2 linked regions of the Rattus norvegicus genome follow. The protein of the gene in region 1 purifies or fractionates together with the protein of each later gene. This does not show direct contact. Links are inferred from orthologs where the notes say so. Each region holds a gene or a part of one and is shown in the gene's direction. Other genes may lie near its edges.

What was found. Proteins that work in one complex are often made in the same cells at the same time.
Region 2: the proteins of Rnf123 (region 1) and Ubac1 purify together in Homo sapiens (affinity purification with mass spectrometry; 7 studies listed by BioGRID and IntAct, counting the BioPlex papers as one, with this or other methods). This does not show direct contact. The link is inferred for Rattus norvegicus from reciprocal best matches to the Homo sapiens genes RNF123 and UBAC1.

The regions. Positions count from the first base shown.
Region 1 is NC_086026.1:117,642,373-117,648,293, reverse strand, and holds the start of Rnf123 (E3 ubiquitin-protein ligase RNF123), read left to right. Parts: upstream 1-2,019; 5' UTR 2,020-2,487; exon of another isoform or gene 2,488-3,469; 5' UTR 3,470-3,505; coding exon 3,506-3,587; intron 3,588-3,855; coding exon 3,856-3,940; intron 3,941-5,921. Other genes in the region: Mst1 (hepatocyte growth factor-like protein), read right to left, coding at 13-184, 789-840. UniProt on the Homo sapiens protein: Catalytic subunit of the KPC complex that acts as E3 ubiquitin-protein ligase. Promotes the ubiquitination and proteasome-mediated degradation of CDKN1B which is the cyclin-dependent kinase inhibitor at the G0-G1 transition of the cell cycle.
Region 2 is NC_086021.1:29,242,813-29,248,601, reverse strand, and holds the start of Ubac1 (ubiquitin-associated domain-containing protein 1), read left to right. Parts: upstream 1-2,440; 5' UTR 2,441-2,608; coding exon 2,609-2,746; intron 2,747-5,789.

The DNA.
Region 1 (5,921 bases):
TTAGCCACTCACCGGCAGTCCAGAAGGGGCCCACAGCGTCTAGCACACTCCTCGGCATCTGCCACATCCTCCTGCCATGGCCCTGGCACCACTGGATGTAGCAGGTTCCTTAACTCTGTGCCCCGAAGCAGCTGGAAGTCATTCAGCGGTGAGCGCTGCCCTGTGAGATGGGCATGGAAAATGACTGTGCGCATTAGTAATGTATTTTAACACACCCTATCTTTTGTTCATTTAGGGAATCCAATACAAAATCCTTGGGGTGGGCCCTGTGTGTATTTTCAAGGGCCAGCTGATTCCTCCATACCCAGTAGGGAGATTATTACTAGTCTGCTAGTAGGCCTGGCACTGGGCTTTGGTCTAATACGTCCACTCCATGAGAACTGGGTGGTGGTGTTGGCCCTATGACACTTCCCCCTTCTCACCCCTCGGATGAGAATACTTGGACTTTGAGCTAAAATGCTTTTCCAGGAAAGGTCCCAAGCTTCAGCCTTCTGACTCCCAGTCTGGCCTCGTACTGGAATAAAGACATACGTTACAGTGACCCATTAGGGTTAGGAGCCATGCCTTCTGGGTTTGACAGTTTCTCTGGTTGGAAGACTACCTCTGTGCTACAGAATGTTCTACTGTAGTCCTGATCAGACAGTGTATATTTGAATTCCCAAGCTGCCAACAGGCCAAGGTCACTGATCCCTGCCCAAAAGAAAAGTAAACTCTCTGAGAAGAGTTGTCTGGGCCCGGGGCGAACTCCCTCCTGAAGGCAAATTAGGATCAGGGTGGGTGACACTCACCAAGAGCCCTTGAACACTGTGCCAGAAGCAGCAGTAGTGGGAGCCACCCCATTCTCCTAAGCTGGACGCTGCACTGTGACCCACCACAGCCCCATCCCGGAAATTGTGAAATCTGTCCCTTCAGGATTGGGTGACTCTGGCTCCACACCCCCTCTCTGAACCTGGCCTGGTGACAATTGCTAGATGGAGCCTAGGCCTGAGGCCTTTGAGTCAAGTGCCTGGTCCTTCTCACTGCAGCTAGATCCCTGAGAGGCCTCTCTGTGTAGTAGGCAGGACTTAGGAGGGTTCTGTGGAAACATTAAGCATCCCTGAGGCAGAGCCCGCCTATTCTATACAATCACAAGTCTGGCTGAGATCACTATATTGGCCTTCCTACCACCGTCTATCCCTTAGGTAGCATGTTGTTGCTACATGTGCTCCAAAAATTGCATGAAGTCCCTGGTGCCTGCTTTACTGAAGAGGTGTGGTGCACATCATAGTAGTCAGACTCAATGTAATTAAGTTCACCAAGTTAAAAACTGAAATTTTCAGTTTCAAGTTTACAAAGTTAAAAACTGAAATTTTCAGTTATGCTGGTACATTTCAAGAGTTTAGTGACCACAGTGGCTGCCATCACTACTGACACTTCTATGCCAAAGGATTCTGCTAGTAGGAGTTGCCAAGATTTTCCAGCCCCCGGATTATACTTTTCTGGGCCTCAGTTTCTTCCTGTGAACTGAGGAACATAATTTCCCCAGCCCGAATGCTGCCTCTCCCTGTTCAGACTGCCTTATCAGTTGAGTCCCGGCTGTAGGCCAGTCAGCCCACACCCCTAGCAGCACATCCTAGGAACATTCATCTCCTCTCAGAAGTGTCATCCCAGGTAAGCTGAGGGATGTAATTACTGTTGGTGATTTGCTGACAGAAGTGGCCTTTCAGGTTGCATGTGGGTCAGGCCTCCAAGCAAGGTAGGAGTTGAGACAGGTGGACCGAGGGACCGATTAGAACATAGTCTCCTGTTACCGTTGGGCTAGGAAAGGCCGTTGGACCATCAGGTAAAACAGGTAAACACCTGGGTAGGAGTCGGGGGAGGGTTTTTTGCCAGCAAGGGCCTGTTGCGGTCTGTGCATATGCGCGTGCGCGGCTGGAGCGGCGCGCGAGCGGGCACGCGGTTTGGCCCTGGACGGGTGCCGTAGCTGAAAAGCTGGGCGGATGTTGTGAGCCGGTCGCGGAGGCTGAGGCCGGGGGTGAGTGAGAGGCGGCCTGGCTACGAGCCGGGCGGGTCCGGTGACTCCCTTCGAGGCCCCTGGCCGATCCAGTGCGACAGTGCCGCGGCCTGCGGTATAGGGCTCCCAGCGGGAGCTGGCCTGACAGGTCCTATGGAGCTTGGGGCCAAGTAGGGGCGACCTGGGGGAGCATGCGCTGCCCTTGACATCCTTGGCCACCCAGACTTAGTCGGTTCGGTTTCGAGCCTGGATCTCTTAGAAGGGCTGGGCAGTAATGGCGTGGCTGGGAGCCCTGGGGCAGACGCAGGTTCCGCCTCTAAATCCTCTACACTTGACACCCAGAGTGTGTGTCTGGAAGGTTGACTTCCAGTTCTTACTAACTGCGTCCAATAAGTCCAGCAATTGTTGCAATATAAGAGGGACTGGTTGTGGATGTCCATCGAGGGCCCCCGGAGGGCGGCACAGCGGCAGAATCACCTTCCCGAGCGAGCCTGGTATGATGCAGGCAGGCAAGGGTTTGTGGCGGGAGCTGAGGGCCCGTTTGGGGTGTGATAAGAGTAGGCTGCAGAAAAAGAAGTGCTTGCTCAGGCAGTGAATAAAGGCCAAGCTCTGGACAGGCGCTAATAGAACTTTCTGTGGCGGTGGCGGTGATGGCACACCTTGCCTTGCAGTTCAGTGCCGTCCTGTGTGAGCTCTGAATTCCCGAAGCTGAAAGTTTAGTTTTTAACTTTGTAAAGTTAACCACTCTTGGCTCCTGACTATGGTGTTGTGCAGCACACCTCTAGAGTGAGACAGACATCAGGGACTTAGTGCAGTTTCTGTAGCATCTGCAGCAATAGCATGCTACCTAAGGGATAGACAGCAGTATGAATACCTATAGAGTGATCTTGGCTAGGACAGTGATTGCATAGCATAGAAGGATATGTGGGGTGTGTGTGTGTGTGTGTGTGTGTGTGTGTGTGTGTGTGTGTACAAGAAAGCTAATGAGACTGAAAATAAAAGGGAGGAAGCTTGGGCTTAGTGTGACATCTCTTACTTTCGGGGAATAAGAGGGATTTGAGGCTACAGGGAATGTGGTATAAGGTCTTGCCTTTTGACTATGACCTGGACTCCATGACTAAGGTGTAAATATAGGAGTTTTTACTCAAGGCCACCTCACTTTGAATATGTTAATCTGATTTCCCCAGAGCCAAGGCCTTTATGGTTCAGCAAAAACACTTTGCACTGGGTCTCTGCTAGGTCCTGTATGGGGCACTGAGACAGTGTGCAACATAGTGTCCCTGACAGCAGCCTAGATCCCATCCAACATCCCCGTGTGGAAAGCTGGGAGCCCTTGCTTACCCCTGCCCTAGGCCAGTATTGTGTGAATGTGCATGGCTCAGTCTCACCTGCTCCCAAGCCTTCCTACCATTTGCAGGACTGAGGTCTGTGTGGGCCTTTGACTAGCCTGGAGTAGACACTCTGCATCTGGCTCAGCCTCCAGGACCAGTGACTGCCGATGAGCGGTGAAAGATGACGTCCAAGGGGGCTGCCATGTCTTTCTCCCGAAAGAGCTATAGGTTGACCTCAGATGCTGAGAAGTCCAGGGTCACAGGTAAGGGCTGGCGTGGCAGAGAGAATGCTTTGTGTTGGGAGAAGGAAGGGACAGATGCAGCAAGGGCCCGGTTCAGTGAAACCTGGGACTTTCCATGCCCCTTGTTCCTGTGACCATTTCTTTGCCGACACCCATAGAAAAGTGCACTTGGAATGGTTGCTCTTCAGACCCTTGTGGCTGGCCAAAGACAAGCTGTCTGTGGGATCAGTAGGGACCAAGAGCTATTCTGACCACTTGCCTCTTTCCTCTCTTCTGATTGGTGACCCAGGCATTGTGCAAGAGAAGCTACTGAGCGACTACCTGTACCGGATCTTTTCCTCTCCTGACCATGGGACCCCTGCAGCCACCAGCAGGTATAGTTAGTTGGGTGTGTGGCTCCATTCCTCTCTGTTGGGCCTGACCAGATGCTGGGAACTGCAGTTATGGAGAAGGGCATGGTGCTCTCTTCTCACTGTGCTCCCAGCTGTGAGATCTGTGCCTGCAGCCGCCCTCTGGACTCTTGTTTTTCTCTCCAGACAGCAGTAGCTCCTTTCCAGGGATCCAGAGAGGGATCTATGTGCCCCTGGTCCCTGTCAGTATCCGCCCTTACCAGCACTTTTCTGTACCTCTACTCTGCCCTGGCCTCTTGTATCTCGATGGTCTGCCTGACCTTACGTCATAGAAACCTCAGTTGAATACATGTTTAACCTGCAAAGAAGTTACAACAAGTAACAGAAACTTGCAAACAAAGCAAAGCAAACTTCCTCTTCTGTTGTTAGTTAAATGTGACTTAGCCTACTGTGATTTCTTTCTGGTTTCTTTGTCTCACAATGTACATAATTTAGATTCTATAGTATCTAATTCAGACTTTAAGAAAAAAGACCTCAGAACACTTTTTGGGGAAAAAAAAAGACCTGAAGGGCGGTGGCTCATAACTGGAACCCCAACACTTGGGGCTGGAAAAAGCGAGAGGACTGAAGTTCAGTACTGATCTAAACTGGGAGAGAAGACACTGCCTCAACAAGAAAGGAAAAAAAAACTTTCTTACTATTGTATAATAATTGAAACAAAGTAAACTACACACTCTTTTAAATGTTCAAAGTTGCTTTTGAGACTGTGTAAATCAGGTTGGCCTGGAACTCTTCAATTTAGACCAAGGAACCCTGGAGCTTGGAGGTGGTGTGAGAGTCACCTGCCTCTGGCACTGAAATATTCAGATTGTAGTGCCACCAGGTCTAGCACTTTCTTTCCTTTCTCTTTCTCTTTCTCTCTCCTTCCTTCTTTCCTTCCTTTTTTCCTTTCCTTTCCTTTCCCTTCCCATTCCCTCCCTCCCTTCCTTCCTTCCTCCCTTCCTTCCTTCCTTCCTTCCTTCCTTCCTTCCTTCCTTCCTTCCTTCCTTCCTTCCTTCCTTCCTTCCTTTGTTTCTTTGTTTCCTGCTGTGTTTGAGATCTGTGCTCACCACACAGCTCACTTTTGGAAGTCAAAGGACAAGTTGTAGGAACTGAACTCAGGTCATGAAACTTGCATGACTGGTGCCTTTGCCCACTGAGCCATCTTATTACTTCCACCGCCAGTAGTTTTAAGTCTTTTATTTAGTCTTTGACAATTTTATATATACATATAATTTGGGGGGGGGGGTGTTTCAAGACAAGGTTTCTTTGTGTGGCCTTGGCTGAACTAGCTCTATAGACCAGGCTGGACTCAAACATCTGCCTGCTTCCCTAGTGCTGGGACTGAAGGTGTGCGGGAATACAATGTACAGTGATTGGGTCCATCCCCAAGGTTCCCCTTGCGCTCTCCTTGGAAGGCCCAGCTTTTTAGATAGCACATCTCTGTGTGTGTCTCTGTGTGTATAAAACCTAGGAAACAATGACAAGTGTCAGTCTAATGAACATATTCCTCACTTTTAAACATTTTTGGAAATTAGAATTTTTTTTTTTGAGGTAGGGTCTCACTATATGTCACTGGCTGTCTTGGAACTTACTATGTAGACCAGGTTGGCCCTGAATTCACAAAAATCTGCCTGCCTCTGCCCAGCTTTAGAATTCTATTTTTTTAAGATGTATTTATTTATGTATTTATTTATTTAATATAGGTACACTGTAACTGTCTTCAGACATGCCAGAAGAGGGCATCAGATCCCATTACAGATGATTGGGAGCCACCATGTGGTTGCTGGGAATTGAACTCAGGACCTCTGAAAGAACAGTGTTCTTAACCACTGAGCCAGCTCCAGCCCCTAGAATTCTAATTTTTATCATCATGCTTATTTCATGAGTATTTTTCCACAGTATGAATTGATTTTGGTGGATATCTTTTAGGGCCAAGTTCTGCCATGGTCCATACCACTGTGCG
Region 2 (5,789 bases), on another chromosome or scaffold:
AAGAAGAAGAAGAAGAAGAAGAAGAAGAAGAAGAAGAAGAAGAAGAGGAGGAGGAGGAGGAGGAGGAGGAGGAGGAGGAGGAGGAGGAGGAGGAGGAGGAGGAGGAGGAGGAGGGGGAGGGGGAGGGGGAGAGGAGGAGGGGGAGAGGAGGAGGGGGAGGGGGAGGGGGAGGGGGGAGGGGGGAGGAGGAGAACAAGAAGGGGAACAAGAAGAGGAAGAGGAAAAGGAGGAGGAGGAGGAGGAGGAGGAGAAGGAGGAGGAGGAGGAGGAGGAGGAGGAGGAGGAGGAGAAGGAGAAGGAGAAGGAGAAGGAGAAGGAGAAGGAGAAGAGGAAGAAGAAGAAGAAGTTAGTAGCAGCTAAGTTGTTTTAATTAAGAGTCTTCAGAGTCTCATCTGGCCCATCATAGGAACACAGGATCTGCCAGCCAAGGAGCCTCACCTGTTGCACCCCCAACATAAATAGCAGGCACTGTGTAAACACGCACCTTTCTATGGGCAGGCAGGGAGGGGACAGCACGTTCTGTGAAACAGAGACTGAGACTGGACAAGGTAAAGAATGGTACCAGATGGGCAGAAGCTGAGTCTCCGTGCCTTAGCCAAGCCGGTGAGTAGAGGGAGAATGGATGAGTTCTCCCTTGAATAATACACGAGCGCCACGACTGCTGCTGGGCTTCTGTAGGAAGGCTGATCTGGGAGACTGGGCAGCCCATCTTTCATCAGAGTGCTCTGTGTGGTATCTCTGTGTCCACATAGGAGCCTGTAGTTTTTGGAGGAGGGGACCTGTTGTCTCCAGCTGGGAAGGGAATACATAATACATTGTGAAGATCACTATCTCAACAATTCCTTCTGCTCACTTCCCCAGTCCTGGGGATCCTGAAGAGCCAGATCTAGCACATGGAAGAGACTTGTCCCATGTTCCTTTGGGCATTTCTTTTGGCATATCCAGTGGTAAGGTGCTGAATTTGGGCTATGGGGAAATACTTTGCAAACATTCTTACTATGCAAACCAGTAGGCCTGGGGCAGCGGCCATGACTGGCGGCCAGGAGAAAGAGAACATAAGACCGTTGAAGAATGGGCTGAGTTACCTAGGATTTGGACAAAGAGCAAGGGGTTTGTTGGGGAGAGGCCTGGGGGACTTGAAGACAGTCCTCAAAACCTTTATGGCTTAGTTCTATACCATCTGCCAAGACTCAGATCTGTGGCAAGATCTCCTAGAACTTGTCAAAAATAACTATGAACTTGGCCTCCTGTTCCTCCTACTTCCACAACACCATTCCTGGATCACTGATAATTGCTTTTTTTTTTTAAATTAAAAAACATTTATTCGGTGAGTATTTTGCTTACATATATGTGTTAACATTACCAGAGTGCCTGGTTCTGAGCCACCATGTGAGGTCTGAGAACCAAACCAGGATTCGAACTTTGTGTGAGTTTTATGCAGGCTTGTATTCCAGGGTGGTCCTGAACTCATTATGTAGTTAAGGATGACCTGCCTGATTCTCTGGTTGTGTCTAGGTGTAGGATTATAAACCTGTGCCAGCTTTATGCTGCACTGAGATCAAACCCAGGGCTATGTGCATGATAGACAAGCACAACTGTGACAAATTTCTAGTGCCCTGACCCAGATGGTTTTTTTTTTTTTTTTCTTTTTTTCGGAGCTAGGGACTGAACCCAGGGCCTTCCGCTTGCTAGGCAAGCGCTCTACCACTGAGCTAAATCCCCATCCCCTAAACAATATCCTTGGAATGGAGCTGACATCTATCTCAAAATACTCCTCAGCAATTTGGTATGAATTCCGTCTTCTGGTACACAGGGTTATTACTTTATTTTTCTTCCGGATCTTCCAATTATTGTATTTTAAGTCAGATGTCTCTAGAATGCCGCAGGCCAATCAAGCCTACTCACTTCAGAGTTACCTAAATTCATGGTTTTGCCTTCGCTGATACTCAGGTTCTGCTGATTTTGTTACATCTCATATAGACTGGACATATGCATTAGAAGTCATATCTTTTTTTTTTTTTCGGAGCTGAGGACCGAACCCAGGGCCTAGCGCTCTACCACTGAGCAAAATCCCTAACCCCGACCCAGATGTTTTATACTTTTCCCTGACAACTCTGAGATCTATTCGAACAGACCAGCAAATCAGGTAATAAGGCTGGGCAGTGCTGAAGGAACGAGGAACTACAACTCCCGGTAGACATCTGACCCGCCTCACACATTAGTTTAGGTAAGCGGGCGGTGAGTCTGCCTGTGAACCACAACTCCCGGCGTGCATCGGTATACTTCACCTATTTCCGGCGCAGTGGGGGCAACAGCGGAACACCTACCAAAGAAACCACATTTCCCGGCATACCCACGGGCGCTCATTACGCATTTCCGGCGCGGCTGCGACAGCGCGCTCCCGGCAGCTACGGCGACGCGGGCAGTGGCAGCGAGGGTACAGCTCCTGCCCCTTCAGTGACGGGCGGCCAAGCTGACAGGAGCCGGGGCGGGGCGGCGGCGGCCAGCGAAGGAGCGCGCGGCGGCCCGGCCCCGCCCCTGGTCCTCCCGCCAGCCCCAGTGACCTTCACGGGTTCGGGCGGCGGGTGCAGGCCCGGGCGGCGGCGCGATGTTCGTGCAGGAGGAGAAGATCTTTGCGGGCAAGGTGCTTCGGCTGCACATCTGCGCAGCCGACGGCTCCGAGTGGCTGGAGGAGGCGACCGAGGACACATCGGTGGAGAAGCTCAAGGAGAGTTGCCTCAAACATGTAAGGCCGAGCTCCTTACGACCCAGTTCCACCTCTGCCTCTGTTCTGGAAACCAGAAACGTAGACTTCTGTCCCAGACTCCGCCCCAGCCCCCCAGACTCCCATCTGCCCGGACACTCCTCTCTCTACCTAGAGGATGCAGCCTGCTGTTCCCAGCCTTCGCTTCTCTGGGCAGGGGCAGCGCCTCCCGCTCCTTTTCTCTAACACCTCGAATCACAAACCTAGCGGCTCAGAGAAGAGCATCTGACCCAACTGTTGGGCTAGCTTTATTTAATTTCTGCAACGTGCTACGGAGGTGAAGGCGAGAGTTGAACGGAGACCGGGAGAGGCAAAAGCAAGGGCTTATGGTTTTCTTGTCTTGGGCTTGCCCGCTGTTGGGATAAGGTTTTAGTTTTCTCCAGAAGCTGGAAGTAACTAGATCCCATTATAAGAGGGACAGCTTCTTGCCTGAAGAGCCAGCTGCTAGGAGCCTGGATTTGGCACTTAGCTGTAGTCACTTAAAATAGTGCCACTGTGGGACAAGTCCCTAGGCTTCTACCTTCTGCTAGGGCAACAGTTGATTGAGTGGGAAGGTCCAGGACAACCGTCTCCTTGCCAGCAAGTGGCATTTAAGTTTACTTACATTCAGTGAGCTTTGTACTATAGTTAGCCTTTTAGTTTTAGATAGTAAAGTCTTGGGATTAGTTCTTGAAGCCTTCCTGGCTCTAACTGCTCTCAGTTAAAGGTGAGACAGATACCTGTTAAACACTGGTGGTCTAGGAAGCATTATACCAGACATGATTAGTGCCAGAATTTATGTTGAAAGTCCCCTGCTTTTTAAAGGGGACTCTTGGGAAAGTTAGAACTCTACAGTGGTAGGTCGCATTAAAGTTCAGCATTGTGTTTCCCTCTAAAGATGATCTTTGAGTTACTGTAGCAGCTGCTTGCAAAGGCTAGTTTAACATCCGTGTGCCTCCTTCCTGTAGTCAGTGTGTAATGATGTCAGGTAGGCTCCAAGAGATCTACAGTGCATTAGATGTTGAGTAACCATGGGTCTTGGTGTCTGTGGTTCACCTCAGTGAGGCCCTAGGGTGAACAAATGTATTTAGATTGCCCAAGGAGTCCTCAACCTTTAAGCTTGTGCCCAGAGGCTCAGCACAAGCTTAAAGGTTGGGGACTCCTTGGGCATCCAGACTGTTCCTAGCATCCTCGCTGGTCTAGTACTATGCTGTGTCATCCCCTAGGTCTAGTTCCTCAGGGCTGAGCTTGGAATACCTTGAAGCCCGTGTACGGATTGAGGGAATGAAATGTGTTGTTAGCCTCAAACCACGTCAGCATGGGATGTCACCTTCACTGCTGTGGTGTCTTGTCTAACTCACTCATGGTGTAGACTTACATAATCAGCATGACACTATTTTATGAAGGGAGTGAGGAGACGATTCGATTCATAGATGCTTATTAATAGATTTTAGGAGCAATGGGGTTAGGCAGAAGGTTTTGATATGATGCTAATTTGTGATACTTAATATTCTAGTTGACATGTGGAGTTGTATCATTTTGACCATTTTTGTCATTATTGTTTAAATTGAGACTTTATTCTACTCCACATTCTCCAGGTATGAGGGCTGAAGCAGCAGGAGAATTTCACAGCACATGAGCTGTTGTAAAATTACAGGACTAGAGAGCAGAGGCATCAGAATTGACCCACCTCCAGGTCCCAGCAGCTCTAGGAGTTACAATGCATTTATTAGAAAAGAGGACTTTCTTGTTGTACCTGACTGTGTACCTGGAAACCTGTCCTGCATAAGATGTTGCTGTCTTGACTTGACTTCCTTTCTCTTTATTCTCCTGTGCACACAGGTTACTGGGGTTGTTATTACTATTATTTTTTCCTTCTTTCTTTCCTCTCTTCCTGAGGGGTTTGATAGAGTTTTTTAAAATTTTTCTCCCACAGGACTCCTTGATACAGTACAGCTTGTTATTAAAATTCTTAAGGAAATAGACTTGTTTTTGCCTTCCCTTTTTTTTGTTTTATCCAAAGTGACTTCACAGTGATATTCCCCAGCTTCCACTGCCTATGTCTGGGAAGGGGGCACAGTAAGCCCTCCTTTCTGACGAGGGTTAGTAGTGGGATGGTATGATGGAGCTGCAGTGTGGAGGAACTTTTCTGTGGTATCAAGCATCTGGAGGAAGCACAGGACTTCTCTTCCAAAGCCTGAACTGTCCCAGGTCCTGTGGAGATTCATGCCCTGTCGTCTTTCCATGCTATACACTAGCAGATATGAGCAGAAGCTAACGACAGTCACCTACAGGATATGTGCGTGCAAGCATAGGGTTGTGGTGGTGTGTGGTGTGACAACCTATGACATGTCTTGTTCCTCATGTGCTGCTGGCATGCCTCAGAGTACAGATACTATTTTTTAATTGCATTTCAGACTGTATTCTGAACTTGACAAATATGCTAGGATTAGCCAGGGATTTTAGAATTTCAAAGCATCCCACTTAATATTTTTGGAAGCAGAATGGGTGTTCCACTGTTTAGGGGTGTTTATTTTGGCTCATGGTTTGAATATGGTTCTTTATGTGGTAGTGGGCCGTGGGGTGTAGTGGCAGGCGGCTGTGTCGTTGGGAGTCTGAGGCCGCTTGCTCACGTCTTTGGATCAGGAAGCAGAAAGGGCAGTGCTGGCGCTTGGTTGGCCGACTCCTCTGGAACTCCAGCCCTTGGGATGGGGCTACAACATTCAGGCTTGGTTTTCTTCCCCTCATTTAATTCTCTATGGAAAGCTCTCATAGGCATCCAGCAGTGTGCCTTATCAATGCCGTAGGTGTTTCTTAATTCAAACAAATTTAAGATCCATTTTCAGGTTCAAGGAAAGTCATGTTCTCTGCTTAGTCACAATGGTGAAGAAGTCAGTTGTTGTGGGGTGGATTTATCTCATAAGCCCGTAGTAACCTTTGTCTGTGTATGATGGTCCACTTTTTAAAACTGGTCCCAGTCTGAGACTGAGATTACAGGGTCTAGAGGGAAATGCATGCTTCAGTTTTTCCTTCTCTTCTGGTTAGC